4 linked regions of the Arabidopsis thaliana genome follow. The protein of the gene in region 2 binds, or shares a complex with, the protein of the main gene of each other region. Each region holds a gene or a part of one and is shown on either strand. Other genes may lie near its edges. The genes, in order: AT3G24880, AT1G02740, HAM1 and AT3G24870.

Region 1 (6,019 bases), on a different chromosome or scaffold from region 2:
ATGAGCCAAAAGTACCAAAACTCTTTGTTCAAGCTGTTGGGTTAAGTAGTTGTAGCCATTCCTATCCACCACCATATCTCTTGTTGAAATCCTCTTAAACTCGCTCCAAGAATGCCATTGGAATCTGCCGAAACAACGCAATAGGCTGCACAAAAAGAAAAGAATCTATTGTCATGTCCATGGAAAAATATGAGAGAATTATAAACAAAGGACACTAAATACGAAAAAGAAACTGTATAGTATTGCTCATATATCACCTAAGTTCAAATACAAGAGGCAAAGCAAGCTAAAGACATAACTACATTCAACAGTTTCACTTCCGTTTAAGCAAAGACTCAAGTCAATTACAATTGCCTTCTAAATTCTCACAAACAAGCCAATAATACATAAGCTGAATGGAATCAGAACACCAAGAAACATATATCATGATAAATCCAAACGAGAGATACATCAATAAGTAAAATAAGAAAAGTCTCATCAATCAATGGAAACCTTAACAGAAGAAGAACCAAGTCATAAATATACAAATGAATGAGCAAATGAGCAAAGAGATCCAGTGAAATCAATTGCAACACGAACACGAATATACATCTAAGTCTACCACATAGATCGAAACTAGGCTTTCAAGAGGGCGAAATCGAAACTCATATATACGAAAAACCAGGAAAAAAGAGAACATGTTCGGTTTGAGAAGGGAGAAGGGAGACTCACTGAAGCCATTTTCGACATTTGTTGTAGGAAAATTGGTATCGGAGAAGGAAGCTTCTTCTGGCAACACTGTGCAGTGACGGCAGTAAAATTCCCTTTTTGCAGAAGGCAAAAAAAATTACTTCTTTTTTTCCAACTCGAAATTTTTACTTTGGCTGTAAATAGTAAAATTGTTTTTGAGGAATTTAAAATGGTTACATCATTTACATGTTGAGGTATACTTGAGGAATTTGTGAGGAATTGTTCATGTTTAAGAGTTTTATTTTTGTTTTTAAGTTGTTTCATAAATTAATAAAATTATTATTCTTAGAACTAAACAACGCAATAGGCTGCACAAAAAGAAAAGAATCTATTGTCATGTCCATGGAAAATATGAGAGAAGACTTCCACTAGAAGTTGTTAGTAAGGAAAATTCTAAACAGAAAAAAATAGTTTAAATTTTATTTTAAAAGTAAAAATTAGTAGTTTATTTTATTAGTTTATGCGTTTATATAATATTTCTATTTGATAAAAAATAAGATTAAATGTATTACATTCTTAATATTTTGTAATTTGTAACTTTTTACAAATTAAGTTACTATCTTATGTTTAATAAAATTATTAAATTATAGAAAATTTCAAGTTTAATATTTTTTCATATGTTTTATTTGGTATTAGTCTCTTAGATTTCTAAACCCGAACCCAAAAAACCCGGACTCGATCCGAATTGCCTATGGACAACGTGGGACAAATATAGTTTTACAAAACCAGCGACATGCCTGAGATTTGTAGAGATCCATGTCACACAACATGAAACTGTTATAACTTTATTACTACAAAAAGGCCCGAAACAAGACCAAGCAAACAAAAAGAAAGGCCTTGTTTGGTCAAAATCTCAGGCCCAGAATTCGGAGAGAGAGAGAGAGAGTCGCATACTGCGTCGAGGAGAGAGAGAGAGAGAGAAAGAACGAAAAAAAAACATCAACGAGAACTCAATTTTTTTTTTTATCTCCCGAGAGGGAAACCAAAATTGAAAACGAAAAATAGCTGAATTAGGAATCAATCTCGCAACAAGCAAGCAATTTCCATGGATTCCTTGTTTTGGGAGGAGCTTCTTCTCTTCTACTCTCTGAGAAATTGATTCTCGTCTTTCGATTTGAAAGAAAAGCTTATAAGAATTTGGAAGCCCTAGGAGAGAGAAACTAATTTTAGAATTTGGTGATTTTGCCCGAGTTTTGTGCCCTAGCTTTTTGCCTTCGTTCTGTTCTGTTCTACGTTCAATTTCCAGGTTTAACTCTCTTCTCCTTCACTCTTCTATTCAAACCCTAGAGTCCAGCTTTGCTGGAGCTTCTGTGATTTTGAACCCAGTGCTTCTTTTATCAGGAATGTGAATTGTTTGCTGAAATTGTGTCTCTGTAGTTCTTTGTTTCTACTCGTTTAGCTTGGAAATGCTCAATACTTGATTCAAGAGTTCGTAGGCACGCCATTAAGTAGCTTAAGCTGATCATTTTCTAACTTTGGTTCCTAGTAATCGTTGTTAGTGTTGGATTAAGCTTCTAGAACCTCTCTGCCTTGAGGCAACATTTCATTTCTTTGGTATCTTAGAGTTCTATTCTATCTCTGTTATGCTGGAATACGTAGTTGTGAGCTTCTCGGGGATCAGAATGGTATTGGCGTTAGATATATAGAATTCTCAGTCAAATACTAGATTCTGGGGAGTTATCTTCACTTTGATGTTCCTTTGGATAGTGGCTAGAGTATATGAGTGAATGTTGTTTTACTTTTGACATCTTCTGAGCAGTTACATCTTGAATCTGATAAGCTACTCTATTATATGATATCATATGGTACTGCTTTTTGCATCATGAGAACATACATTTTACCAGTGTTATTTGTAGGTCCAACATTTAGGTGTAACTGATTCTAACTTCTGCAGTATGATCATTCGGAATGCTGTAAATACTGAAAGCTCTTGATATAATTTTTCAGTTAAGCTAGAATTCGAATTGATGGGGTATTCGACGTGGTGATGCATGGAAGCGTTTCAGGATATCTTCTAGTAAATGCTGAGGTTGATTCCATGGGAGGAGTTATCGATAGTGGAGGTGGTATTGGTGTTAAAACATCTCCGCGCCGAACAGCTATTGAGAAGGCTCAAGCGGAGCTAAGGTATTTCAGATTGAGACATCTTGATCTTCTGCAGTGTGTTTAAATGCTCTATAATTTCTACAGCTTTCTATTATTTCCAATGTGTAACAAAGATGCTTATTTCAACAGGCAAGAGTATGATGTTCGTGAGGAAAGGAGGAGAGAATTGGAGTTTCTAGAGAAAGTATGAATACCTATTTCCCTGTTCTATAATTGTTTTGTGTGTGTGTGTGTAAGAACTTATGATGACAAGCCTTTACTCTTCTATCTGCTTCAGGGCGGTAATCCCTTGGATTTCAAGTTTGGTATTGCAACTTCACATAGCGTCCAATCTACATCACTCACAGATCAGCAAGCAGAGCATTTTGTAAACAGGTACATTCGTGTTTGGTGTAGTTCCCACATTAATTTCATGGAATAACTCATCATTATTTGCCCATAACCCCCACAGTGAAGTCAAAGATAGTTTTGCCCTGACTGCCTCACCACATGGTGACTCGGTGGAGAGTAGCGGTAGACCTGGAGTTCCTACAATTTCTGAACCCAATACAGCAGATAATCTTTTACTGTTTGATTCTGAAAACAAGTCAGTTGAAGGGGAAAGAAATTTGAGACATCCTAATAGGCAAAACAGAACTTCTGAGTCAGAACGATCTTCCAAAGCACACACCAACCAGAATACCAAAGAAACAGAAGATTCTGCCATCTTTCGCCCGTATGCTCGGAGGAACAGATCGAAGATAAGTCGGGATCCAGCACGGTCAAGCTCTACGGATTTAGTTCAGAATCGTGGTGGTCTTGCAACGTCTATATCTATTCGCAGAGGATCAGTGGAAGGAAAGGGTTGCATTCCCGAAGCAGCCAATCAAAAGGATATGCATACAACTTCTGTATCTTGTCCAGTATTTGCAAATTCAAATGGTAATATCGTTCCGAAAAATAGAGTTTCCAGCAATTCGCTGAATACTAAGGTGGATGGTGAACCTGTTGTACGAGAGAGTACTGCTGGATCCAAGACTAGTCTATTGAAAGATGAAGCCGACATTTCGTATAGTAAAAGCTCTGCATATTTGCCAGTTGGAGAGTCTGGCCTTGCTGGGGAGAAGGCACAACTAGTTTCGACTGGTGGTTCTCCCAAAGCTGCAACAATAGCTGGCCAGAAAAATAGTTCTACCCAACTGAATGGCCTAAGAGATTCCACGGTAGAGGAAGAAAGCTTAACAAATAGAGGAGCTACAGGGACTAATGGGTTAGAGTCAGAGTCTTCTCATGCGAACAACGTAGAAGTAAATGTAGATAATGAAAGAGATCTTTATAAAGTGGACAAACTTGACTCTGATGAAATCTCTATGCAGAAGACTTTGAGAGTAGAGGGGTTACTAGATCAAACAGTTGGTGAAATGACCAAAACTAAGATTGAAGATGAGACAGGTCAATCTACCACCATTATCAGTGAGTGCATTCCTGAATGTGAAATGCAGATGAAATCGGTTAAAATTGAAAATCAAAGTCACAGAAGTACAGCTGAGATGCAAACTAAGGAGAAAAGTTCCGAGACTGAGAAAAGGCTTCAAGATGGGTTGGTTGTACTCGAAAATGACAGTAAAGTTGGTAGTATTTTATCTGAAAATCCTAGCAGCACGTTGTGCTCTGGAATTCCTCAGGCATCTGTAGACACAAGTTCTTGCACAGTTGGCAATAGTTTATTGTCAGGAACTGACATTGAAGCATTAAAACATCAGCCGAGCTCAGATGCAGTTATGTTAGATACTGTCAAGGAGGACGCTATTCTTGAGGAGGCCCGGATTATACAGGTTTTCTTTTTAATCTTGACTTGATGATTTTTAGCTATCTAGTTTTCGTAGAAGTTATGATGTTATGTACCTACTCATCTTTTTATGTATGACATAATACATTAACAGGCAAAGAAAAAAAGAATTGCCGAATTATCTTGTGGTACTGCACCAGTGGAGGTCCGTGAGAAATCTCAATGGGATTTTGTCCTCGAAGAAATGGCATGGCTGGCAAATGATTTTGCGCAGGTCTGGTCTAGTTAAATTATCTTTCTAACATAAATTCTATATATCTGCATGGAAAATGCTGCATTTTGTGGATTTTTGTTCTGTTTATTTACTACGGCGTCTGGTCATTCGTCTTCTTAAATGAGCTTGTCCACTTTTATGTTACTGGAACATTTTTCCGTGACTGTTCTAATTGCATTCTGTTACCTTTTTTCTTTTCATCTTCTAGGAGCGCCTTTGGAAAATGACTGCTGCCGCACAAATTTGCCATCGAGTTGCTTTGACTTGTCAGTTGAGATTTGAGGAACGAAATCAGCACAGAAAGCTGAAAAAAATAGCTTCAGTCCTATCTAATGCTATCTTACAATTCTGGAGTTCTGTGGAGGCCGAGGTTCCTGGGGAGCTGGAGGAGACGAGCTTGGGAATTGTTAAGGTATTTGACTGTCTGACCTCTTTTATGGTTTTTGATGACAATGATGATCATATGGTTCTTTCCTTTTCTTTTAAATTAGAATTATGCATATATATATACATTCGTTGAATTAAAGTATTGACAACACTGACATTCTGAGAAACCATATTATTATGTTTGTGACTAGACTGCAAAACAACACAATTCTACTGATATTTCCTTCTTATGATTGAGAAGCCTGATCTTTCTTATTTGCTTGAATTGTCTTTGATAATTACCTACAGGAGTCTCTGGTTCTGTCGCTCCTTATGTTATGATTTTTGTAAAATTTAATGGTATCATACTAAATAATACCTTGGTTGTATGCAGGAGACTTGCCAAGAATCTAATTGTTTGAATGGCAGAAGATGTTTAGCTGCGGGTGTCAAGGAATATGCAAGTAGATTTTTGAAGTACAACAACTCTTCCATCTCCTATCATTCAGCTGCACCGTCAACACCTGACAATATGTGCGACCCAGAAATATTGGATATATCTATGGTTGATCAGCTTACAGAAGTATGAATTTCTGAAAAGATTTTCCGCAGCCTCAGTTGAACACTATTGTTGTGGATAGTTCTACATTATTGCTAATTGAGCTTTATTACTGTGCAGGCAAGCCTCTTTTATTCAGTTCCATCTGGTGCAATGGAGGTGTACCTTAAGTCCATTGAGTCGCATCTTACACGTTGTGAGGTATGTGAGATTGTTC
Region 2 (6,156 bases):
GATCTCCGATTCCCGCTGCTAATGGAAGTGCGACGCGTGGCTCTTGAGCTTAGAGGAGAGTTTTGGTTGGTGATGACGGAGGCGCGTGGGATAGGACTCGTCAATCCTAAGCTTCTGTCGCCGGATCCTTTACATGGTGTCACCGTTATAGTCACCGGAGATGGTGACTGAGAAGCTGCTGATTTCACCATCTTTGGTTCACAATTAGCAGTGAACCACAAAAATCACGAGAGAAAAAAATCAAAGATTTAGAAGGAAAAGAGTAGTTCTCAAACTTGAAAATCAGAAACTCAGAAGAAGAGAGATTTTGAATCTAAGGAAGAAGAAGAAGAAGCTGAAGCAGCTAGTACGAAGCAGAAGAGCATTATAATTTTCGAAATTCAGAGAGAGAGAGATATAGAGATTATAAAGGAGAAAGGTATTGCTATAAACGGTCGATAGATCTAAACCGTTCATTTTATTCACGTTGCTTCATGTGAGATCGGACGGTGATTATCGAATCCAAACGGTAAGTTTGAAAAGATTACGTGGGACCAGGTCGATCTATAAAGAAGAAAAGTCAAATAAACGGAAAATAATAAAAGAGAAAGAGTGTGTGTATCTCTCTCCCTTTCCGTAACGGTCAAATAAATTTATATTGGAGAAGCTGTTTAAAAATAGTAATATGCTTTTTTCTCATCCCATGTGGTTTGATAATTTTGAACTCATTGGTATACAATTTTTGCATATTATCATCAAATGATGTATAGAGTAGCTGATAAAAATATTATTTGCTCATCATCCCATGGGGTTTGATGATTTTGAACTCATTGTCGTTGGTATACATTTGAATAGTATTATTTTGATATACTACTCGAGTAGATCATTATTCCTTCTGATGCACTGGTAATTTTATATACTAATCTGCCCATTAAACATATAGTTCTGTACTCATAAAACTCAAAAGATTTTGAACACATACTATTATAATATGTTTTCATTCGTATATTCAAAAGATCAACTATGTAGCATATTTACAAATCAAGAGAAGTTACTATGATCATTAATAATTGAAAAGGGAGAAGAGATAATTAAAAATGACTAAAGTTATTTTAAAAATAAATTCTTACTAATACAGTGGAATTTAAAACGCCGAGACAAACACGATAACGACGTTTAAGTACTTTCAAAATCGAGACGGAACATAGTATAATAGTTCTTAGATCATCATTATTGATGATCTCTTAAAACAATTCTTATGCTAAGAGACATGTTTTATAACTAACAAAATTTCTTATATAAGAGACTTTAAGTCACTTTTGTTAATTATAAGACATATCTCTTAACATAAGAGTTATGTTAAGAGACCATCAATAAGGATGGTCAGGATGGTCTTAGGTCTCGTTACAAAATACTACAAAGAGAAGATTCGCTGCACATACTTACAAGAACACGTCATTAGGCACAATTTCCTAACCTTCTTTCTTCTCCATTTCTTCCACTGCTTTGTATGTCGATACAAAAAGCACACTCTGATTCTTCCTCAAGAACCTGCTTTATCATTTTGTTTTTGTTATTTGTCTTTAAATACTTGTAAAAAGAGTTAAGTAGGAGAACAAGAAGAAGAAACCTGAGAATATCAACAAAGTTGTCCTGCAATTCCTTCAATGTCTCTTCTGCCATATTCACATGTACTAGCAACTCCGGTAATTTCACTGCAAAACTCAATATTTATATAGTCTTATCTTGACAACTAAACCACATGATAAAGGCAGATTTGCAGATTACAAAAACTGGCCTTACCAAAGAGTCGCAACAAATGCTCTGCTCCGTACACAGTTGAAGGAGAAACACCCCCTGATACGGATTCCTCGTACTGCTTCCGTTCATTGTTGTAAAGCAACATCACCGGTAAAGCTTTGTCAAAGTAGCAACGCAAGCCTTTCAGAATTTCCTCTAATGAATCTGTTACCCTATATAGATTCACCAAAGAAAGTACTAGATATATCAGAAGCTTGGAATACGCTTTATCTGTCAACCAAATTATCCATGGAGCATATACAAATGATTTATACTCTCTTTAAGTATATGAGAATAGCAACAAAAGAGATTAACAAGTGTAACTGTTGGAAACTGACAGCAGAAAGAAACTATAATCCACAAAGAGCTTACCTGCCATGTTTCTTCATTTGGCTGTCAATGTACTTCTTCAAGATGCCATCCACATTTGGAGAACGCGGAAGTTGCACAAGCTGCTCAGACAATTCCCAAAAATGACTTAAAATAAATTCCTTAACATATGCACCTAAATATGACATTCACAACAAATATATTCATGCGACTACAAGAATATTTTTTCTCTGACTAAATGAATCAAAAGACTATGGTCAACTGCGTCAAAACACACAGAAAAGACCGTTTGAGAATTGAGAGAAGAAATAACAGGCTGATAGAAATACCTTCTGCATCTGAGTAACAAATTCAAAATCGTCAAGAAGTTGCTTCCTTAATGCTGGTGGAATATTGAAACTTAAAAGGTTGTCAGAGGGAAGCACATTCTTCTCCTGTATTCAGCAAACAACAAGACATGAGTAAGACTCCCCTGATTAAAAAAATCCCTGGATATTTGGAAGCTGAAAGATTAAGCAAATACATCCACTAAAGGAGCGATTACCGTATCAACAGAATCTTGCTTCCGCTTTCTTCCTCTAGCAACTGCAAAAATTAAGAAAATATTGAACAAAATCTCAGCTGACACAATATCTCAACTGACACAATATCTCAACTAACAACGAAAGATGTGTATGTATACTTTAATCTCAACAACTTCTACTTAGTCGACATAGAATAAAGCAAGCAAGACCAAATGAGAGTCCCTGATAGAGACTCTGAATATCCACAAAAGCAGCAAGATATCCATCGAGACAAGAATATGCAAAACAAACAAAAGAAGAAGCTGACTGACCATTAGGGCTTCTAGGTTTCATCTTTGACACTTTCCAAGCCATAGCACTCTTAATCCCTTGCTGTTTCAAACCCTGTTCTTTCTGTTTCTCAATATTCTCATCTGAATGTTTCAACAGACAGTCCAGCCTTATCCATTCGTCCCAACTATCATTGTATAGAAGAGATACAAGAGTCAAAGACTTTTTTACATTATCAAAAAACTGAGACTTGGCAAACAAATCAGTAAATCACCATATGAAGAATTCTCTTATTTATAAATAGTTTCAAATGATTTCAAACCGATTAGAAGCCAGTAACTATATTGGATGAAGCTCTAACCTTTTGTTCCAACCCTGCCAAAAGAAATCATTTACATCTTCAAAACTAAAGATAGAAGCAAAATAGCTCAAAAGAATGATTTTAAACATATACAGTATCTACTTACAATGTAATGCACAAAATATTTCCATTCATTGTCTTTAAATTCAACTTTAAGAACCTGAGAATATTATTATAAAAAAAAAAAAGGAAACGATCAGAGACATAAAGCATAAGCAGAGAAGAACACTCTAATTCAAGAATACAGAGAGTGTATTTCACTAACCTTGGCTTCGTAGAAGCAATCACTGTGTTTGGCTAAAACTCTCTCTCCTTCTTCGAAGTGGCCGGGAGGAGCAGGTAGCAGAAGAAGAGGCAAATCTTCTCCGTCACAATCGGTGTTGGTCTCTGTATCAGAACCAGAGTCCCGTCGTGTGTCTCCGATGAAATCATCGGTTGTTAGATCCGTCTCGGCGGCGGCGTTAGGGCTTCCCATCTCAAAAAGAGGAGGAGAAGAAAAGAGTAAAGAGAGCTTAAGAGCCCTTTCGTCTTCTTCCACGGCTCGTCTCACGTCGAAGCGACAAAGGTAAATGACAAAAAAAAAAACTCACTCAAAGTTGTTGAATCTCAACGCGATTTTGTCTGAAAATTTCCGGGAAAATTGGGATTTTCCGTCTATCAGAATCTAAAAATTCTCAGATTTTAACATGGGCTTTTATTATTAGGCCTACAAGCCCATTTAAATAATTTCAAAATCTTGACTTCAAGCCCATTTATATCATTTCAAAATCTTGACTTTAAGCCCATTTATATAATTTCAAGTCAGGCCTTTACTGATAATTAACTTGGGGAGCAATGCAATAACAGTAACATCCTTACAAGAAAAGGACAAAAACACCCCTGAGTTAGCTGAGAAAAAGGCTCAGTGCAATGTAAGGGTATAATAGTAGTTCACTCTTACCACCCGAAGTATTCTTGTCCATTAAGACTCGGCGGATTAAAAAAAGGTTTGGCCTTTCCGTGGAGTAGTTTCTTGACATTTTCTTTCTGCTATCTCTTACACAATTGGGTATTTAGCTGACACGACGAAGAAGGTCTCTCATCAATTATCTGAGATTTTTACATAAGAAAGGCTCCGACAAAGCAGATGGAAGACGATATGTGGTGCGTTAGCTCATCTGGTTCTTCTAGAAGCTATCGATCGGAAACTGCTGCTAAGTATCAATCAGGTTTATTATCCAAATCCCCTCAATTTTTCTTTCAAACTTCATTTTTAGGGTTTATGATTGAAGATTGGTCTTAATTGGGTTTCGATTGAGTTGAGTTCTGTTTTGATGACTTTTTGTAGTTGGTCGTTTAAGTTAAAAATTGTAGCTTTACGTTTTGCTTTTTAGATGAGAGAAGACTTTTTTTTTCTCTTTTGCTCTCGAGTTAATTAGTGGTGAATATTTCAGGGCCTTATCAAGATTTGGAAGAGTTTGAAGAAGTTGACGACGATATAGCAGTGGAGTATCCATGCCCGTTTTGCGCAAGTGATTATGATTTAGTTGAATTGTGTCACCATATCGACGAAGAACATCGTCATGAAGCTAACAATGGGGTTTGTGAATTCACTTCCTATCTCTCCTGCTCTTTTCATTTCACACTCAAGCTTCACATGAAGCAGTTTTACACAGCTTAGTTATTCGGATTGTGGGAAACATAACTTCAATCTATAATTTTGATTAGGATTTGTTTTAGATTGATGCGTTTGAGAATCTGATTGCTATTGCAAATAGTTTTAATAGAGAAACATGCCACTCTTATCTTAAGTTACTCTTTGGGTTTTACATAACTCTCCATTGATCAGTTTAAGGTTTTAGGATATTAATACTTTTGACACTTTTTTTGGCTTTACATACTTGCTATAGAGAGTAGGTGACTTGAGCTCTCTGTTTTGAAGCATAGATTGGTTTTACGAGCTAAAGAAATGAATATATAAGTAGTATGATGGAACATTATTAATCTGGTTCCGTGAATTGTCATGTGGTAGCATCATCTTACAATTCGTTTTGGTTGTTTTGTGGTTTTTGTAGATATGTCCTGTATGTAGCAAAAGGGTGAAGATGCATATGGTGGATCATATAACATCACATCATAGAGATGTCTTGAAGATATCCTTTTTTGTTTCTTTTCAAAACCTTTCAAGTCAAATTTCCGTCGCTATAATGAATGTGATTTATTTGAAATTCCTTGACCGATAATTTTACAGTGAGCAGAAGGAAATGTCTTACAGGGAAGATCCATATTTATCTGATAAATATCTTCAACCTCATCTTGATGAGTTGCCACCATCTATGAATCATCATCAGCATCCCTCTAAACATGTTTCCGATCAATTTTTATCGTTCATCAACAATTCTGCATTACCAAATCAGACCAAGCTTGTGCTGCCTGATTCAAGTGTAGAAGACAAGAATCCGATTAAGGATTCGTCAGCAGCAAAAGAGGGTACATCGTCGTGTCCTTTATCGGATAGTGATAAATTGGAGAAGGCAAAGAAGTGTGAGTTTGTACAGGGACTGTTGTCATCAGCCATGTTTGATGATGAATGTGACTCTTCTGAGTAAAATAAAGATGTGAAGTCGCCAATGGGAAAGGCAGGTGATTGTCATTGTTGTAATTTTATTCAGCTCTATTTATATATATGCATCTTTTTTACAGACATAACACTAGCTTTAGCCTTATAATATAAGCTGATGAGTTTTCAGTTTGTTTCTTCACAAGAATCTTTTGTCGCAGAGCACCGTCCTTGCAAATTTCTTTCCTGCATCTAGTTAAAATTGGGATGTGTTTTTTTTATATGAGTATAACAATAGTGTGAATATAGTCAACAAGCCCGTCTAGCTCAGTTGGTAGAGCGCAAGGCTCTTA
Region 3 (5,721 bases), on a different chromosome or scaffold from region 2:
AAACTGTAGACTAGTCAATGACCTACGAACATTCACTTTCAATAATTTATGTAAATGTTTCCACCTAAAATGATATTAAAAAAAGTCATACGTCTTTTGATTTTGATTCGCATAGCAGTCGACGTCGTCTTAAAAGCAGTACTAGTTTATGAGGTCGATAACTATTCTGCATTAAAATTGTTATAAAAAAATATATAGACGACGTTACCTTTCTCTTTTAAGATGACACTTTTGTAACCTTATCGCAATTTTTAAAGTGTAAAACATCTCTGAAGCGATAACACGTATAATGCATACAGATAAAGCAAAAAGTTACCTAAAGATATATAACGAATATACAAATATCTCTAGTACTTCCCATTTCTTAAGAAGCCTTTTCCCCCAAATCTTCGTCACTTAAAATTTTTGGTATGATTAGTCAATTGATTGAGAAATATTAAATTCCAAATATTCAGGTGATCTCTAAAGATTGTTCTTCTTGGCAATTTGAAAGTTGTAGCAAAGACGAAAGTAATAAAGTAACGGTCATATTAAATTCATGAAATACGATAATTTAAATAGAGATTTTACGAAAGTAGTTAATGCAAATGTAAATCATTCAACAAGGCGATCAAGAATCCCGGAGACAACACCACAAATACGTCTCAGACTAGCTTCACGCCGGCGAATCTCCACCGGATAAGCCAACCCTTTAACCCGCCTAAAAATATTCCGGCAAACATTAGGATAATCCTGCGCCGCCAACACATGCATGGAGGCATAGTCATAAGCTTCATCATCAAGATCTTGAATCGTCAGCCGGAGAGAATCAGCGGCGAGAGCATACTTCTCGGAGCAATCTTGTAAGACCTTTTTGAGAACGGTGTCTTTTACGGTGGCGGATAGGTTTCCAGCGATGTAATTTGCGGTGGAGGTGGCGTTTGTCATACCAACGCCGACCATAATGGAGGCGAGACCTTTTGTGTCGGCTGTGGGACTTCTTGGGTCGGATTTGAGAGCTGAGACGCAGAATTTGTAGTAGTTTGTGGTTTTGCAAGTTGATTCGATTATTGTTGTTGTGTTGGATTTGGCTGAGATTAGGGTTGATGCTGAAAAGGTTAGGGTAACGAGGAGGAGGAAGATGAGAGAAGAAGCCATTTCAGGAAGAAGGTTTTGAGCAACTGTTTACGGAGAGATAGAGATGGAAGAAAGAGGATTCTTGTCTTTATATTCTGAGCAGTTTCTTGAATTACATATTTTACAAAATAAATACAAATGATAACGTTTCCGTTTATCATTTGTAATTGCACTAAATGAGGAATGATTTTCGCATGTAGTGTGGTAGTTTATACTAATATTGACCTATCAAGATTTAAATTCACATGATGCAAATTGTTGGTCAAATAATGAATTAAATTAAAATACGTTTTTCCAGCTTCGTCATTTCATTACATTTGAGTATCTTTACTTTATTTTTGAAGAATTTAGAATTGATGATATACGAACAAGATATTTGTCGATGAATCAATCATTGTAGGTAAAAGAATCAGCCACTTCAACACGTTATTTCCAAAATTTGATAACTAAGTTTTGTTTGCTCAACCAAAAAAATTCTGTCTGTTTTAAAGATTTCGTCACTCTTTTCTCATTTTTTCTTACAATTATACAATTTCACATCATTATTATGAAAAAGGATACACGGTGTGTAGTAGCTACAAAAATTAGAAAGATGAATATATGTCACCAAATTAAATCATTTTATTTAAATTTTCCCTTTAGTCAAGTTGCCATATAAGTATATAACGTGTTTACATGTGAACAACTGAAATAGGAATCAATTCTATTTTTCTTCATTCGAATTTCAAAAGTAAGTAAGTCATCCACTTCAATTCATAACCGAAAAATAAAAGTAAATTGATAGTATGTAAAAGTAAAACATTCTTTAAGAAAAATGAGATGTAAAATTTCACATACAAGATACAGTAAAGTGACCATGTGAATCTTTTTTGTTCATAAAAAATCATTTTGGTTAATCTAGAGGAACATGGTGTGCGAATCTATGACCATAACTTCAAGGACACGATGATGAGTTGTGTTTTTCGTCTTTGCTTCTTGGAACTTTGTGATTTTTTGATCTGTGAATCTTGTGATTAGTACGAATCATAAAGCCTTGTTTGGCTGTTTCCCATTCACGACAAAATACTGACTCTGTCACTTATTATTTATCTCTCATTATCTCTTTAGTTTTTATAAATTGTTTGCTCCTACTAATCATTCTTTAAATGTAACCTGGCGATTATAAAACTAAACATAAGCCAACAGTTATAAAACGTGTATTAACGACGGTAAGAGATTTTTTGCACCCAAAAAAAAAGGACGGTAAGAGAGACATATAGTACAGGCCAATTATAAAGATAGGCCCAATTGAGCATTCAAAGTTGTTATTGGGCCACACTCCTTCCAAATGATGTTCTTTATCCGTATGAGAAAAGAATCCACCCGGAAAAAATCTCCGACCCGACTAAAGAAATGGGATCGTCTGCGGATACAGAGACGGCGATGATAATCGCCACACCGGCGTCGAACCATAATAATCCGGCAACCAACGGCGGAGATGCGAATCAGAATCATACTTCTGGTGCGATACTCGCTCTCACGAATTCAGAATCGGATGCTTCGAAGAAGAGAAGAATGGGGGTGCTTCCGCTCGAGGTTGGTACTCGCGTGATGTGTCAATGGAGAGACGGAAAATACCATCCGGTGAAGGTTATCGAGCGCCGAAAGAATTATAATGGTGGTCACAATGATTACGAGTACTACGTTCATTACACAGAGTGTATGTCGTTTCCTCCTTTCTCTATCTGAAATTTGTGAATCTAGGGTTTATAGATTGGAGCTGAAATTTCGAAGAATTGAATTAGAGGGCTTTGCAATTCAAGTTGTTTTGAGTATCACAACTCTTGTGAAACTGCAGTTAATAGAAGATTGGATGAATGGATTAAGCTTGAACAGCTTGACCTTGATTCAGTAGAGTGTGCTTTAGATGAAAAAGTTGAAGACAAGGTATTAGCCATTTTTCTTCAAAGTCTTGAGCTTTCCTCTCCGTAGTTTGCACTGAAACATAGAAGTTTGTTTGTGGTAATAGGTGACTAGCTTGAAGATGACACGACACCAGAAACGGAAGATTGATGAGACTCATGTAGAGGTAAAGTGATTGGTTAAGTTAGTTAAACTTTGTTGTGGTTTTAGTGAACTGTGTGGCATGCTATATATTCTGATGTTTTTCGATATTTTGTATAGGGTCATGAAGAGCTGGATGCTGCCAGTTTGCGTGAACACGAGGAGTTCACGAAAGTGAAGAACATAGCTACGATTGAGCTTGGGAAGTATGAGATTGAGACGTGGTACTTCTCTCCTTTTCCTCCAGAATACAATGACTGCGTGAAGCTCTTTTTCTGTGAGTTTTGCCTCAGTTTTATGAAGCGCAAAGAGCAGCTTCAAAGACATATGGTGAGCAACTGTTTTTTTTATCATTTGTAGCATTTTAATTGTTTTGTCTTTACAGTTATTTTTAGTTTCACACATACCTTTTATGGGTCATTCTTTTTACTTAAGTTTTGCTCAATCGTCTTTTATCTATGCAGAGGAAATGCGATTTGAAGCACCCCCCTGGGGATGAAATCTATCGAAGCTCTACTTTGTCAATGTTTGAGGTAATAGATTGATGTTTTCATCCTTAAACTGTTTGCTTTAGGCTTACGATACTTGTTTGGAAGCTAATAAATGTATTTAGAATTGAATTTTCACGACCTGGGAGTTTATTTGTAATATCTTACAGGTGGATGGCAAGAAGAATAAGGTCTATGCACAGAACCTCTGTTATCTGGCAAAGTTATTTCTTGACCACAAAACTCTTTACTATGACGTTGATTTGTTCCTGTTCTATATTCTCTGTGAATGTGATGATCGTGGATGCCACATGGTTGGATACTTTTCAAAGGTATCAGCACACTTTGGCTCTTGGGTCTGTTATATACATGTTCTGTTTCAATTTGATTGTCTGATGAAAAAAATGCAATTTCTGTTGGTACAGGAAAAACACTCAGAAGAAGCTTACAACTTGGCTTGCATCCTTACACTTCCTCCATATCAAAGGAAGGGCTATGGCAAATTCTTAATAGCCTTCTGTGAGTTTTTGTTTTTCATTCAACTCTTCTTATTTGTTCTCACCTCTCTCTATAAAGCTTACACGTTATATTGTGTTATAGCCTATGAACTCTCAAAGAAAGAGGGCAAAGTCGGGACACCGGAAAGGCCGCTCTCTGATCTAGGGTTAGTGAGTTACAGAGGTTACTGGACTCGGATTTTATTAGACATTTTGAAAAAGCACAAGGGAAACATATCTATCAAGGTATGTATATCTATATATCCGTAATGATCCTTTTTAGCCTATCTGTCAACAGAATAATTCATATATTCAACTTTTTTAAATGTAGGAGCTGAGCGACATGACAGCGATTAAAGCAGAAGATATATTAAGCACCCTGCAGAGCTTGGAACTGATACAATACAGGAAAGGACAACACGTAATCTGCGCGGATCCTAAGGTACTGGACCGACACTTGAAAGCGGCAGGCCGAGGTGGTCTTGATGTGGATGTGAGCAAAATGATATGGACTCCTTACAAAGAGCAGAGCTAAGAGGGCATTACACTTCAAATAGTTATGGTTATGGTCTACTTTTAATCTGCATATCCTTAGATGACTTTTGTCTGTAACAATTTAACACGCACTCTGTTCAATAGATCTTGTAACTGTAGGAATCTTTTGTCTGGATGGTAAAACGATCAGTAGTAACTTTGGTGTTTCATTCTTGTTCCATTCTGATTGACAACAGTTTGGTTAAAATTTGGAATATTTGAAAAAATGCCGAAAGAGAAGTTTTATAACTAAATGTTAAAAATTTCTGGCTTTCTACTTCGGCTAGAGATCTCCGGATATCAAAAACAGAAAAGATATCAAGGGATATGTGAAAACTATAATTAAGATGACTATAAATGAGATGTAATGATACAGAACAAAAAAAGTTTGGAAAATTTTAGTTAGGGTTCTTTGTGCTCCTTTGAACTGCAAATACACTCTGGATATGGATTCTCATAAAAGGCTTCTTCAGTTCTAAACCGTGCACGTCCTTTGATCCCCTGCGTTGGTCCTTTCCTTCTCCTCGGTGCACCTTGTCTGCAAAACCGATCAAACAAATCCTCTTCTCGCATCAAAGATGTGCTTTTTTTTATAGGTTTATTGTTTAAGAAGCAAACGTATGACTCTTTTGCTACCTGTCTTTATGCATTTGATTCACAAAATTGGACAACTTTGGTCCTTCTTTTAGCTGTCCTCTCTCCATCTTAACGAAGAGTTTCACTAGTCCTTTCCTGCATACAACACCAAACTTGTCATGGCCTATAACAAAATGACTAAAAGATTAATGCTTTTTTTTAAGGTAACAGAAGGAAGGAGATAGAACCTGTCGGGAGTGATAGTCCTGCGATGCCCTAGAAATCTGCGGTGACCTTCAACTGCTCTTGCCATGTTTCCAGAATGTGAAGGAACAAACACATCACTCTCAACAGAAATTATGTAATCAAGAGCAGCCGTTTTAGTCGCATGGCCAGTGAAACCTTTTAACTCTTCGTTCCCAGCAAGCGTTTCCTACAAAATCCAGTACATGAAACATAAACATTTA
Region 4 (5,977 bases), on a different chromosome or scaffold from region 2:
AGGGAACAGTCCGGGGATCCCAGCTTTCAGTAATTTGAGTTCTGGATTTACCAACCAGACAACTCCTGTTCAGGCGTACCCAGGCCATCTTTCCCAGCAGCATCAGATGTCACCGCAGTCACATGTGCTTGGCAACTCGCATCATCCTCATCTCCAGAGCCCAAGTCAAGCCACTGGGGCACAGCAAGAAGCATTTGCTATCCGTCAAAGACAAATTCACCAGAGGTATTTGCAGCAACAGCAACAGCAACAGCAGTTTCCAGCATCTGGTTCTATGATGCCACATGTACAACAACCTCAGGGCTCTTCTGTTTCTTCTTCTCCACAAAACAGTCCTCAGACTCAACCACCTGTTTCGCCCCAGCCATTATCCATGCCCCCGGTGTCGCCCTCTCCTAATATTAATGCTATGGCACAACAGAAACCTCAAAAATCTCAGTTGGCGCTTCATGGTTTGGGTAGGAGTCCTCAGTCTGGTACTTCTGGAGTGAACAATCAAGCTGGAAAACAAAGGCAGCGACAACTTCAGCAGTCTGCAAGACAGCATCCACACCAGCGGCAGCCAACACAAGGTCAACAGCTGAATAAACAACTGAAGGGGATGGGTAGAGGCAACATGATCCATCAGAACATCACTGTTGATCAGTCACACCTGAATGGCCTTACCATGCCCCAAGGAAACCAGGCTACTGAAAAAGGAGAGATAGCGGTTCCAGTTAGGCCTGATCAGCAGTCTAGTGTGGGGACTACCACGAGCACGAATCTGCAGTCTAAACCATTTGTTTCTCCCTTGTCTTCAAATCATTCACAGCAACTGCCAAAATCATTCCCTGGTGCTTTGCCTCCATCCCCTCAACAACAGATGCAATTACATTCAGACAATAGCATCCAAGGCCAGAGCTCACCTGCGACCCCATGTAATATTTTATCCACCTCTAGCCCGTCAATTGCACCAGCGGTTGCACCTTCTAACCATCAGCATTTGTTGATACACCAAAAGCAGCGCAATCAAGTGCAATCAACAGCTCAGCGAGTTGTTCAACATAATCATCTAGGGAACTCTGAGTTATCAAAGAAGTCCCAAGCTGAACGCATGCCACGTGTTCCACAGTCTGTAACCAATACTACCCAAACTGTTAGTATGGGTACGACCAAGGGTATGCCTCAAGCGAGTAATGATTTGAAAAACATAAAAGCAGTTGGTTCTACTGCGGTGCCTGCTTTGGAACCTCCATCTTGTGTTGCTTCTGTGCAAATCACTGCTTCGAAAGTAGTAAACAGTTCCAATACAGATTCAGCAGGAAATGATCCAGTATCAACACCGAACCAAGGACTAGCTCAAAAGCACGGGATCAAGGGCGTTACACAGAGACAACAACAGTCTCTACCTTCAGAAGAAAAGAGACCGAAATTGCCAGAGAAGCCGACTGTACAAAATCAGAAACACCTTGCTTCTGAGGAGCAGCCTCATTTAGAAGAAGCACAAGAATTATCATCTTCCAAGCCTCCTGATACAAAAGTGGAATGAGAGGCATGACAGATGAACCTAGAACCTTGAGTAGCTGTAGATCCTGCAAAGCTTAACGCTGGCCCTTACCGACAACAACCCTGTACAGGAACCCAAACTGGTTTGTGTCCTCCACCTTCAGAGTCGGGTCTCTTTTTGGCATTAACATCTTGAAGCTGCTGGTGGTCTTTGGATTTGGCTGAGAGTATAACATAACAAACTCTACAGATTGTGGAGTTTGCAGATTTGGTAAGGCCAGAGGGAGATCAATAGGGAAGAAGTTGGTGGATAGGATAAAATTCATGCAGGTCTTTTTGCCTCTTTTGATGAACACAAAGAGAAGAAGGTATATCATAATGTAAATTACCCACTTGCATCATAGAGAAGTAGTCTCTTCTTCTTCCCATCTTTTGGTTTGGGAGAGAGTAGAAACAGTTTATAATGTTTTGTATAGAAGTCTCTACTCCTCCATCCTTGTGGCATATACTTAGGGCCCTTTTTTAACCTTTTCCTCTAACTTATTCTCTTGTAGGTTTAGGTTAATTTGATGAATGTATCATTGTTCTTTTATGGTTAAAAAAAAAGTTCACTTCACTCCCATAAACATTAGCTTACATAGTGCATTTCTTCAAATCCGTTACCTATGTTACAAATCTAAAAGCAACAATGACTAAATCTCTACGTTAGAAAGAATCAAAAGCATTGTTGATAAATTGAAGAAGCTGAGTTTGAGAACTCTGAATCAAATTTTAGATTTTTTGGATACTTCGGATAAACCCGAATCCGAACCCAAAATATCTGATCCACATCCGATCTAAACCCAAATTTTAATATACCCGAATGCGTCCTAGATTTCTAAACCCGAAACCGAAAACTCCGACCCGGACTCGATCCGAATTGCCTATGGACAACGTGGGACAAATATAGTTTTACAAAACCAGCGACATGCCTGAGATTTGTAGAGATCCATGTCACACAACATGAAACTGTTATAACTTTATTACTACAAAAAGGCCCGAAACAAGACCAAGCAAACAAAAAGAAAGGCCTTGTTTGGTCAAAATCTCAGGCCCAGAATTCGGAGAGAGAGAGAGAGAGTCGCATACTGCGTCGAGGAGAGAGAGAGAGAGAGAAAGAACGAAAAAAAAACATCAACGAGAACTCAATTTTTTTTTTTATCTCCCGAGAGGGAAACCAAAATTGAAAACGAAAAATAGCTGAATTAGGAATCAATCTCGCAACAAGCAAGCAATTTCCATGGATTCCTTGTTTTGGGAGGAGCTTCTTCTCTTCTACTCTCTGAGAAATTGATTCTCGTCTTTCGATTTGAAAGAAAAGCTTATAAGAATTTGGAAGCCCTAGGAGAGAGAAACTAATTTTAGAATTTGGTGATTTTGCCCGAGTTTTGTGCCCTAGCTTTTTGCCTTCGTTCTGTTCTGTTCTACGTTCAATTTCCAGGTTTAACTCTCTTCTCCTTCACTCTTCTATTCAAACCCTAGAGTCCAGCTTTGCTGGAGCTTCTGTGATTTTGAACCCAGTGCTTCTTTTATCAGGAATGTGAATTGTTTGCTGAAATTGTGTCTCTGTAGTTCTTTGTTTCTACTCGTTTAGCTTGGAAATGCTCAATACTTGATTCAAGAGTTCGTAGGCACGCCATTAAGTAGCTTAAGCTGATCATTTTCTAACTTTGGTTCCTAGTAATCGTTGTTAGTGTTGGATTAAGCTTCTAGAACCTCTCTGCCTTGAGGCAACATTTCATTTCTTTGGTATCTTAGAGTTCTATTCTATCTCTGTTATGCTGGAATACGTAGTTGTGAGCTTCTCGGGGATCAGAATGGTATTGGCGTTAGATATATAGAATTCTCAGTCAAATACTAGATTCTGGGGAGTTATCTTCACTTTGATGTTCCTTTGGATAGTGGCTAGAGTATATGAGTGAATGTTGTTTTACTTTTGACATCTTCTGAGCAGTTACATCTTGAATCTGATAAGCTACTCTATTATATGATATCATATGGTACTGCTTTTTGCATCATGAGAACATACATTTTACCAGTGTTATTTGTAGGTCCAACATTTAGGTGTAACTGATTCTAACTTCTGCAGTATGATCATTCGGAATGCTGTAAATACTGAAAGCTCTTGATATAATTTTTCAGTTAAGCTAGAATTCGAATTGATGGGGTATTCGACGTGGTGATGCATGGAAGCGTTTCAGGATATCTTCTAGTAAATGCTGAGGTTGATTCCATGGGAGGAGTTATCGATAGTGGAGGTGGTATTGGTGTTAAAACATCTCCGCGCCGAACAGCTATTGAGAAGGCTCAAGCGGAGCTAAGGTATTTCAGATTGAGACATCTTGATCTTCTGCAGTGTGTTTAAATGCTCTATAATTTCTACAGCTTTCTATTATTTCCAATGTGTAACAAAGATGCTTATTTCAACAGGCAAGAGTATGATGTTCGTGAGGAAAGGAGGAGAGAATTGGAGTTTCTAGAGAAAGTATGAATACCTATTTCCCTGTTCTATAATTGTTTTGTGTGTGTGTGTGTAAGAACTTATGATGACAAGCCTTTACTCTTCTATCTGCTTCAGGGCGGTAATCCCTTGGATTTCAAGTTTGGTATTGCAACTTCACATAGCGTCCAATCTACATCACTCACAGATCAGCAAGCAGAGCATTTTGTAAACAGGTACATTCGTGTTTGGTGTAGTTCCCACATTAATTTCATGGAATAACTCATCATTATTTGCCCATAACCCCCACAGTGAAGTCAAAGATAGTTTTGCCCTGACTGCCTCACCACATGGTGACTCGGTGGAGAGTAGCGGTAGACCTGGAGTTCCTACAATTTCTGAACCCAATACAGCAGATAATCTTTTACTGTTTGATTCTGAAAACAAGTCAGTTGAAGGGGAAAGAAATTTGAGACATCCTAATAGGCAAAACAGAACTTCTGAGTCAGAACGATCTTCCAAAGCACACACCAACCAGAATACCAAAGAAACAGAAGATTCTGCCATCTTTCGCCCGTATGCTCGGAGGAACAGATCGAAGATAAGTCGGGATCCAGCACGGTCAAGCTCTACGGATTTAGTTCAGAATCGTGGTGGTCTTGCAACGTCTATATCTATTCGCAGAGGATCAGTGGAAGGAAAGGGTTGCATTCCCGAAGCAGCCAATCAAAAGGATATGCATACAACTTCTGTATCTTGTCCAGTATTTGCAAATTCAAATGGTAATATCGTTCCGAAAAATAGAGTTTCCAGCAATTCGCTGAATACTAAGGTGGATGGTGAACCTGTTGTACGAGAGAGTACTGCTGGATCCAAGACTAGTCTATTGAAAGATGAAGCCGACATTTCGTATAGTAAAAGCTCTGCATATTTGCCAGTTGGAGAGTCTGGCCTTGCTGGGGAGAAGGCACAACTAGTTTCGACTGGTGGTTCTCCCAAAGCTGCAACAATAGCTGGCCAGAAAAATAGTTCTACCCAACTGAATGGCCTAAGAGATTCCACGGTAGAGGAAGAAAGCTTAACAAATAGAGGAGCTACAGGGACTAATGGGTTAGAGTCAGAGTCTTCTCATGCGAACAACGTAGAAGTAAATGTAGATAATGAAAGAGATCTTTATAAAGTGGACAAACTTGACTCTGATGAAATCTCTATGCAGAAGACTTTGAGAGTAGAGGGGTTACTAGATCAAACAGTTGGTGAAATGACCAAAACTAAGATTGAAGATGAGACAGGTCAATCTACCACCATTATCAGTGAGTGCATTCCTGAATGTGAAATGCAGATGAAATCGGTTAAAATTGAAAATCAAAGTCACAGAAGTACAGCTGAGATGCAAACTAAGGAGAAAAGTTCCGAGACTGAGAAAAGGCTTCAAGATGGGTTGGTTGTACTCGAAAATGACAGTAAAGTTGGTAGTATTTTATCTGAAAATCCTAGCAGCACGTTGTGCTCTGGAATTCCTCAGGCATCTGTAGACACAAGTTCTTGCACAGTTGGCAATAGTTTATTGTCAGGAACTGACATTGAAGCATTAAAACATCAGCCGAGCTCAGATGCAGTTATGTTAGATACTGTCAAGGAGGACGCTATTCTTGAGGAGGCCCGGATTATACAGGTTTTCTTTTTAATCTTGACTTGATGATTTTTAGCTATCTAGTTTTCGTAGAAGTTATGATGTTATGTACCTACTCATCTTTTTATGTATGACATAATACATTAACAGGCAAAGAAAAAAAGAATTGCCGAATTATCTTGTGGTACTGCACCAGTGGAGGTCCGTGAGAAATCTCAATGGGATTTTGTCCTCGAAGAAATGGCATGGCTGGCAAATGATTTTGCGCAGGTCTGGTCTAGTTAAATTATCTTTCTAACATAAATTCTATATATCTGCATGGAAAATGCTGCATTTTGTGGATTTTTGTTCTGTTTATTTACTACGGCGTCTGGTCATTC

The links.
Region 1: AT1G02740 (region 2) and AT3G24880 share a complex: the UniProt entries of both Arabidopsis thaliana proteins name them as parts of the nuA4 histone acetyltransferase complex.
Region 3: AT1G02740 (region 2) and HAM1 share a complex: the UniProt entries of both Arabidopsis thaliana proteins name them as parts of the nuA4 histone acetyltransferase complex.
Region 4: AT1G02740 (region 2) and AT3G24870 share a complex: the UniProt entries of both Arabidopsis thaliana proteins name them as parts of the nuA4 histone acetyltransferase complex.

The regions. Positions count from the first base shown.
Region 1 is NC_003074.8:9,092,235-9,098,253, reverse strand, and holds the start of AT3G24880 (Helicase/SANT-associated, DNA binding protein), read left to right. Parts: upstream 1-2,716; coding exon 2,717-2,856; intron 2,857-2,964; coding exon 2,965-3,019; intron 3,020-3,112; coding exon 3,113-3,210; intron 3,211-3,286; coding exon 3,287-4,649; intron 4,650-4,757; coding exon 4,758-4,877; intron 4,878-5,085; coding exon 5,086-5,289; intron 5,290-5,637; coding exon 5,638-5,826; intron 5,827-5,922; coding exon 5,923-6,003; intron 6,004-6,019. Other genes in the region: VAMP728 (vesicle-associated membrane protein 728), read right to left, coding at 1-75. UniProt on the Arabidopsis thaliana protein: Component of the NuA4 histone acetyltransferase complex which is involved in transcriptional activation of selected genes principally by acetylation of nucleosomal histone H4 and H2A.
Region 2 is NC_003070.9:598,283-604,438, forward strand, and holds AT1G02740 (MRG family protein), read right to left. Parts: upstream 3,918-6,156; 5' UTR 3,740-3,917; coding exon 3,530-3,739; intron 3,425-3,529; coding exon 3,371-3,424; intron 3,279-3,370; coding exon 3,265-3,278; intron 3,091-3,264; coding exon 2,945-3,090; intron 2,695-2,944; coding exon 2,654-2,694; intron 2,544-2,653; coding exon 2,439-2,543; intron 2,232-2,438; coding exon 2,152-2,231; intron 1,953-2,151; coding exon 1,783-1,952; intron 1,695-1,782; coding exon 1,610-1,694; intron 1,531-1,609; coding exon 1,452-1,530; 3' UTR 1,048-1,451; downstream 1-1,047. Other genes in the region: CSLD5 (cellulose synthase-like D5), read right to left, coding at 1-191; AT1G02750 (Drought-responsive family protein), read left to right, coding at 4,391-4,472, 4,698-4,843, 5,319-5,396, 5,493-5,852. UniProt on the Arabidopsis thaliana protein: Chromatin remodeling factor. Acts as a 'reader' protein by binding to H3K4me3 and H3K36me3 to control histone H4 acetylation. Increases the transcriptional levels of the flowering time genes FLC and FT.
Region 3 is NC_003076.8:25,827,291-25,833,011, reverse strand, and holds HAM1 (histone acetyltransferase of the MYST family 1), read left to right. Parts: upstream 1-2,342; 5' UTR 2,343-2,508; coding exon 2,509-2,815; intron 2,816-2,953; coding exon 2,954-3,042; intron 3,043-3,124; coding exon 3,125-3,184; intron 3,185-3,279; coding exon 3,280-3,489; intron 3,490-3,623; coding exon 3,624-3,692; intron 3,693-3,817; coding exon 3,818-3,979; intron 3,980-4,072; coding exon 4,073-4,166; intron 4,167-4,247; coding exon 4,248-4,390; intron 4,391-4,475; coding exon 4,476-4,679; 3' UTR 4,680-4,852; downstream 4,853-5,721. Other genes in the region: C/VIF2 (cell wall / vacuolar inhibitor of fructosidase 2), read right to left, coding at 595-1,137; AT5G64600 (O-fucosyltransferase family protein), read right to left, coding at 5,081-5,216, 5,315-5,410, 5,503-5,687. UniProt on the Arabidopsis thaliana protein: Histone acetyltransferase which may be involved in transcriptional activation. Acetylates 'Lys-5' of histone H4 (H4K5ac). Essential for gametophyte development. Involved in DNA repair after UV-B exposure.
Region 4 is NC_003074.8:9,082,008-9,087,984, reverse strand, and holds the start of AT3G24870 (Helicase/SANT-associated, DNA binding protein), read left to right. Parts: upstream 1-2,565; 5' UTR 2,566-2,965; intron 2,966-3,666; 5' UTR 3,667-3,706; coding exon 3,707-3,846; intron 3,847-3,954; coding exon 3,955-4,009; intron 4,010-4,062; coding exon of another isoform or gene 4,063-4,102; coding exon 4,103-4,200; intron 4,201-4,276; coding exon 4,277-5,639; intron 5,640-5,747; coding exon 5,748-5,867; intron 5,868-5,977. Other genes in the region: AT3G24880 (Helicase/SANT-associated, DNA binding protein), read left to right, coding at 1-1,528. UniProt on the Arabidopsis thaliana protein: Component of the NuA4 histone acetyltransferase complex which is involved in transcriptional activation of selected genes principally by acetylation of nucleosomal histone H4 and H2A.